Linked DNA regions of Lepisosteus oculatus. The protein of the gene in region 1 purifies or fractionates together with the protein of each later gene. This does not show direct contact. Links are inferred from orthologs where the notes say so. Each region holds a gene or a part of one and is shown on either strand. Other genes may lie near its edges.

Region 1 (3,751 bases):
AGCCATTGTACGGCGCCCCTGAAGCAGTTGGGGTGAAGGGCCTTGCTCAGGAGTAGCAGGAGTAGGATTCCTCTGCCGGCCACGGGATTTGAACCGGCAACCTTCCAGTCACAGGCGCAGATCCTTAGCCACAGAGCCACGGCTCCGCCCATCTTGACCATCATGCCTTGAAAGCTGTCTTCTAGACATTATCAGCAAAGAAGAAAGCCCACAACTAACTAATCTGCTGTCACGACAATTTCTAACGTGTAGCTCACCCTGTGCTTACAACGGAATAGCCCATGCCAATAATTCTAAATGTGCCTCTTCATTCACAAATTGACACAGGACCACACCTGTCCCACCCCCACATCGCACTGACACCCCTGTCTGCGGCTCTGCCCCACCCCCCCCCCCCCGTTAGCACATGGAATTCTGGGAAACAGGTACACGGATCCACGCACACACACCAGAACAGGTGTCCACAGAGACTGATGACCGCGTCCTTGGCTGTGTCCAGGCAGATGTTGCACTCAAACGTGCTGTCCTGGTTACTCCCCTCTCCGGTGGTGCAGCCGGTGCTGGCACTGTCCGTGGAGCCAGAGGCCGTAGGGCCCGCGCTGGCCATCTCCGGCTGTAGTCAAGGGAACGGCGGACAGGAAAAGCTAGCCCTCTGTTGCTGGCTCCTAGAGAAAGCACAGGACAGCGTTTGAGATCTGTTACAAGTATACCGCGAGGCACTGAAAACACAACAAATGCTGCTTCTTCCAACACTCATTTGTTGCACTTTATTGCCTTTTAGTATATTTATCCACAGAGCTTAATAAGAATTCCTTGTATCTATATAGCAATTTTCATTATAAAGTACATCAAAGCGCTTATTAACACAGAGGAAGATGGCTAATATTCAGGACAATGAACTGCAAAGAACAGTGCACAAATATAAGATGCAGTGTCAGAAAACTGGTTAATACAGTAGCTGAACAACTAAACAGTGGACAGAAAATGACTACAATACCAGGACGAATCGTAGCCATGTCAAATCATTTTACAAGGAAGGGCTTCTGCACTTAGGAGAGAGATAGGCAGGTTATTTCAAAACACCATGTTCGCGTCCGAATACTGACACCGTCACAAGTGCAAAACAAAATCCAAGACATCTTTAAAAAAAGATCATACTATTAATTAATAACAGCGAGGAAAACCAGGAGACAGTTGTGATTTCACTGAAACCTTAACTGGAAGAAAAGTTAGTCAAATATTAATGCTTCATCTCTGAATTCCAGCCATGTTAGCATACATTGTATTTAAAAAAAAATACCGTAATTGTAGAGATCTTAGCTATTTAATTCGGAGTATTCTTATATCCGAATTATGTTTATTATATCGATCAAATCCACAAAGTAGTTCAGCAAGTACACTCCAGACAACGACTGCCGGATGTAGTTATTTCTCGTGGAAACCGTGGAAAAATGCTGTCCTTTCAGAATCGGAGGTCCCTTCGTGAAAAGGTGAGTTAGGTGATCGTGTACACCAAGAATAAAAGTCTCTCAACATAACAAAGCATATCAAGTCTCAGCTTGCTCCGCAAATCCCGAGTACTTACTGGACGATTATCTAGACCAGAGCCACCCGTCCAGATTTAGTAACAGCCTGGTGACACCGTCACGAACAGGATCGCACCGACTGGGTCTGAAGGAAAACCCTGACCCCGCACCAGGGGCCAATGGCAAGGAGACAGGTTATCACTGACCCAGGTGCTGCAACAGACCCGCAATACCCCCCCGCCGCCTCACTGCAACAGTTAGATCCGTGTTTCAGGTGAACAGCTCAGCAAATCGTGTCCCACAGAAGCTCAGAAGCATGGTGTAAAGCCCTTGTCGACAACCCGAGCGCGACCCCAGCCGGAGCGACAGACGGCGACAGGCGCAGGGAGACGAGTCCCGGAGGGCCTCACGCAACCCCGGCGCAAAACTGACTCACGCAAAGACGCACGACTGGCGACACAATAGTGCACTCTTACACGAAACCGGTGTCAAAGCCAACTCCCCGTCGTGGGCTTGTGCTAGGACACGGGTCAGGGCCGTTTCATTCTTGTATGCGTCAACGACGTCGGGTTATAAGCAGTGCCGGAGGTACTCGGGGAATGTCTTGGAAGACACCCCCCCCGTGTTTTCACTACTTGTCGTGGCTCGGATCGGCTCGGCGTCCGCGCCGATCGCCCCGAAAACAACAAAACCGTCACGGCACACCGCCTGACCTCTCCTCGGTTTCTCGAGTTTTCCTCTCGCTGCTGCTGCTCCTGCTCCTGGGTCCGTCTGTCTGGTTGGATCCCCTGCTGCCCCGACTCCGACAGCACCCGGAAGCACACGCGCAGGAACGCGACAGCGTGACCCGAGCGAGAGCCGCGAGCCGCGCCGGGACGGACTCGATCTATTTATCGCGTCCCTGGCAAGGAGGGCCGCCGTAGAGAAAACCGACAGACTCAAACGAAACACGTCTGAGGTGTAGCCGAACTATCTGGCGCCGCATTTCTGTTTCCGCCCACTTTAAGAGACGCCGCGGCATGCATTTCGTTTCTTGGGCGAGCCTGTTTCGGGGCCCACTATTGCCAAAAAAACATCCGTCATCATATATTAAGGCTTGTAAGACCCCTGTCTTTACCAAGCAAGTACAGGTACACCGTGTATTGTGGGTCTGATGGTTAAACGAGAGGCCAAGACCCGTGTTGGTTCGGGTTTTGTCTGAAAAGGCGAGAGCAGTGCCCCCTGGCGGTGTCTCGGCGGTTTTACTGGTGAAGCCGATGCCAGGTGAAGAGTGGAGACGCGGGCACGTCGTGGTAACAAGAAGGGGCAAAAGCTAAACACGCGTTTTAGATTGTCCTCACGGACGCGGAATATTCTCAATCTAAAATACAGAACTTTTATAACAGAGAATGGGACGCGTCCGTTTTTATACGGTGGGAGAAAACAAGAGACAAAAAAGGTCATGTCAGAAGTGGGATTCGAACCCACGCCTCCATTCGGAGACCAGAATACCCGCCCGGGGAAGGAGTCGCTCCTTGAGTCTGGCGCCTTAGACCACTCGGCCATCCTGACACTGACTCTCTCTGCCTCTAAACAGGGTTATATGTTTCCATCTGTCCTGTAAATTAATGTACATTCATTTGCGATTAATCGCGCAATGCGTTACATTCACTTCTGCAAATTAATCGATTTACATGTTGCAGGACAGCTGTTTGCCTGGTAAAGAATGAGACATTAAAACGTAACGCAGTAATTACTTAAACCCGTAAAAAATGGATGCATTACATTTTGTAATGTTAATTTTCGTTATTTTTCATTTTTAACAGCTCGATTCAAGTATTAATGTGTCAACGCACGGACGAAAGTTAATGATGTACAGGTAGAACCATCATTTTTTGTAATAGTTGCAGAACATTTCTTATGGAGTTAATTTTTAATTTAAAATAAAAAATCCAAATATTCATATTTTCTCCAAAAATAACAACAACAACAACAACAACAAAATTTAATTTGTTGTTCTGGCACAACATTTCACTATTTAGAAATGACCACAAGAGAGTGCTCTTGTGATCCTTTCTTGTGACAGATCAGAGAACACAATCAGAACCACCACAACCACCACCATAATAATAATAATAATAATCGAGTGGAATGGGTCAAAAAGAGGCCATGCATCTTTCACGATTTAAACTGGAAAGGAAGATGAATAAACAAGCAAAAATAAACGCAGTAAATTATTACACGGT
Region 2 (3,751 bases), on another chromosome or scaffold:
TACAGTAAAGCAGAACTCTGTGGATGGAATAATACATGTCCTGAAGCCATTTTAATGTGCTCAATTTGAAGACGTAAAACTGATTGCACTTTAAATACTGGGAAGGTTGAGGACCAACACATACCCTAAAGAGCTGACAGTGTGATCAAGAGTGATAAAAACACTCTTGCCAAGTATTTACGTATAAAGACCGCATAAACCAGGCTTAAGCTAGACTGTTTAAGCATGCTTAATTAAAACACTGATAAAATGAGAGAGGAATTCAGTAATACTACACTTGGGCCAGGTCTCTATAAGTCCTTAAGAGTGATTTTCTTTTTACACAGCTCATAGAAGGTACCACCTACCTTAACCAAGATGTTCAAGAGTCATAGCGGCAGCCTTGGGTACAATAACTGCTCAGAAGTAGAACATGTATATACAGTACTGTGACACATTTCATTTCAGAACAAGGGAAAAACAGGTTTCACACTGAGGTGCAGGAAGGTAACAAGTTCTCTGGGAATGACGCATACTGAAAGAGGTTTACAGGAATGCTCCAGACCACTACAGGCCCGAAGAGGTTTAAACCAGTGCTGAACAGATCATGTTCCATGGCGGGCAGGTCGGTTCCAGTGTGAGACAGCTGATCCCTTCCACCCAGCCCACAGCTGTGACACATTCCACAGCAAGAAGCAGGTGTCCCCAGAGCAGGCTAGGCTGTACTGTGGGCTCAGCTGCAGTCACGCCCCCTGATAACTGACAAGCCCACGAAACCAAGATCCACATGTACTGCAAATGATGTCTTATACCAACACCGAGAATGCACAACCTAGTGAGTTCACACAGTGCATCACAAACACCCACTGAATCTCCAGGTTGAGCAGTATGTTACTGCATCTATACAGGCATAAGAAACAAGACAGGTTTCAGATCTGTAAAGTGCATCAAAAGCATAGGGTGGCTGAACTTCAGCTTTTCAGACTGACTCAAATACCACCTTTGGAACTCAACACTAAATGAAATGTGTGAAAATGAAATGAAATGTGAAAAGAGAATATTGCACAGGTACTCGGAACAAATATTCGAAATCCTCAAAGTCCCAGCGGAATTCTCCAGACTTATCAGTGAAAACCTATCCATGCCTTTAAAGTTGAATTCCTTTTTTTATTTAAATTCTATTAGAAATTTAAAGAATCAAAAGGCAAGGCATACAATGGAAATATGTAAAAAGTATAATTTTAAGTTTTTACAATTGTGAATTCTTCTGGCTTTGAAGTGTTTATTTCTGTATCTATTTCATTATGGTGTTTAAATAAGAACTTGTTTTTTTTTTAAAAAACGTATCAGTGAAAAGCGAACCACTGGATTCAAGTAGAAACTATGGGGAAGTGCAATATAACTGAGAACAGAAGCGCTTTTTCACACAGAAGCCTGGTGTGGGAGTATGGCTTCTCTCAAGAAACAGACGAAACTCTCCATTCTGTCCGGGAAACATCTCACATTCTTTTAGCAAACACAAACTGGGCCTCTTCAGATTTGCCGTCCTTGAACTAAACCTTTGTTTTGGTTGCTCTTTCCAAGTATAACAACCTTGCTTAAGCCCATCCAGTGGATTACCCTGCCTTCCTCGTCTCCCGTGAGCAAACACCGTGCTCTTGCGCCTCAAATCCACAAGGAGCACACATGAACTCAGTTTAGCCTAGATGTGTTCCTAATGTTCTTGTCTGCTCCTTTTTTTTTAAATATAAAGGCACTTTCAGATGTATATTTAAACTTTCAGTTTATAGTTTGAGGTAATGCTCAAAAGCAACTTCAGGCGCTCTAACGATTTACTGTCAGTGTAAAACGTGATCTTTAGTCGGAGGGAATGACGTTAAACTGGAAATCGTGTCCAACATGATTTTTTTTGCTTGCCGTATAGTACATGTTCGTTTTCGTGAAGGGCTACCTAAATCGATACCTCCTGCACAATTCCAGTTGTATGGAGACAAATATACACATTCAGAAACGGAGAAAAAACACGAGTTACAACATGACCGGATCTTTCCCACAAGCCACAGTGGCTTATCGCCCCAGGATCTTGCTACTGTCTGCAGTAACAAGACCGCCACTCCGGACTCGGGACTAGCGGCCACAAGCACGAACGCCGCCCCTCTGCCCGTGTCCGTTCCTCGATTAAACCCGCAACACGTTATTTCAGCGAAGTTTTTCGATGCAATCGAGCTCTCCAACTCCCGAGCCCACGAACCAGTGCGGATTCAGCCAGTTGCACGGCGTGTAGCAAACAGGGAGGAAAAAAAAAAACTCCATGACGGATTACCATAATGAGTAATGGATTGCACACGTTAAATTAATTTAAAAAAAATCCCAATGCACTCTGCTCACCAAGCTTTCAAACAGTCTCTTCTGACAAGTCGGTTATGAGCGAAATCCTCCCTGTCCATCCCCCCCGCAGGACTCACTGCAGCAATGGACTCGACTCGCAGCTCCAGCGCCGCTTCTCTTCCGGGTGAAGAGTGCACCGCCCGTTAAAGGGGAGGGGAGAGGCCGGCCTGCCTGCCTGCCTTTGCAAGTATGCCGACGGATTTTGCGCTTAACCAGGTCTTACCGATTTTCGGTGACTCAACAGCTGTCAAATGGTACGGGTGATTGATTGCTCGACGGTTGGCATTTCGTGACCTAATCGCACTCCGAACCGAACACCCGTTTTTGAAACGGGATGAGGGCAAAACATCTGCGGGTTAGCGCCCGGGAAAAATAAAAGTCCCCCCCCCAGGAGTGTTTCTGGAAGACAATGCCTTTAAATCGGAAGATATTAGTTCATCGAGAAAAGGTGAAGGTACAACGCCAAGAGCAGCGAGATAAGCGCAGAGCGGTATTTGTCTTGGCACGGATTTAAAAAAAAAAAGTTCACACAGGGACGTATTTCACCGAACTACATGTGCAGGAGGGGCTGGTTCTGAATGTGTAGGTTTCCGGAAAATGATTTACTAAAGGTAACAGAAAAGATGTCACAGCAAAACAGAAATGACTTCTGTGAAGATGCAAGAACGGGCAGGCAACCCATCTGCCTTGCGCGTTTGTGTTCGCCCGGAGGCAGGTTCCCCGGGAATGTGTGTGTGGAAGGGTATCGGCAAACCAGCCGGTGTCTGTGCCCAGGGACTGTAGAACTGGGGGTTGCATGTAAGCTGTGAGACAGCGGATCCAAATATGAATTTGGCGGAAGGCTTTTAGTAGGTATAAAACTTCACTTGACCGGAAGGGGAAAAAATGCAGTTCAACATCACAGCATGCAGTAGTAAATCTTTTCATAAAAGTAAATAATAATTCTGAGCACTAAAACCCAAATCAACACATTACAGGTGCAATTGTGGTATTACATATTTAATTAATCACAATAATATGCATTTTTACACATTTACAATCAAACTGGTGTACACACTTTCAAAACTGTACAATTCCATCATTTAACAATTCCCAAACAGTATAAAATTACATGTTACACATTATCAGGTGTGTAGCTCTTCAAAGCAAAGCAGCATAAATTCATCTAAAAGATGCATCTTATGGACTAATAACAAAAAAAACGTCCATTGCATTACAATAAGAAACTATTTTTACAACTGCAAATTTCCTTTCAAAGAGCAAACTCCACTTCCATGTCCTTTTCAGTAGCAAATATGTAGAAATATTAAAAGTAACTGAAGTTGCTTTGTAAATCTTGCAGCTTATGACTCCAAAACTTGAAGTCTGTGAAAATATGTACTTG

The links. Proteins that work in one complex are often made in the same cells at the same time.
Region 2: the proteins of rnf185 (region 1) and erlin1 purify together in Homo sapiens (affinity purification with mass spectrometry; 3 studies listed by BioGRID and IntAct, with this or other methods). This does not show direct contact. The link is inferred for Lepisosteus oculatus from reciprocal best matches to the Homo sapiens genes RNF185 and ERLIN1.

Annotation. Positions count from the first base shown.
Region 1 is NC_090717.1:6,590,306-6,594,056, reverse strand, and holds the start of rnf185 (E3 ubiquitin-protein ligase RNF185), read right to left. Parts: upstream 2,625-3,751; 5' UTR 2,240-2,624; intron 2,213-2,239; exon of another isoform or gene 2,003-2,212; intron 1,984-2,002; exon of another isoform or gene 1,685-1,983; 5' UTR 1,586-1,684; intron 1,567-1,585; exon of another isoform or gene 1,301-1,566; intron 666-1,300; 5' UTR 608-665; coding exon 450-607; intron 1-449. UniProt on the Homo sapiens protein: E3 ubiquitin-protein ligase that regulates selective mitochondrial autophagy by mediating 'Lys-63'-linked polyubiquitination of BNIP1.
Region 2 is NC_090699.1:17,618,755-17,622,505, forward strand, and holds the start of erlin1 (erlin-1), read right to left. Parts: upstream 2,499-3,751; 5' UTR 2,368-2,498; intron 1-2,367. UniProt on the Homo sapiens protein: Component of the ERLIN1/ERLIN2 complex which mediates the endoplasmic reticulum-associated degradation (ERAD) of inositol 1,4,5-trisphosphate receptors (IP3Rs).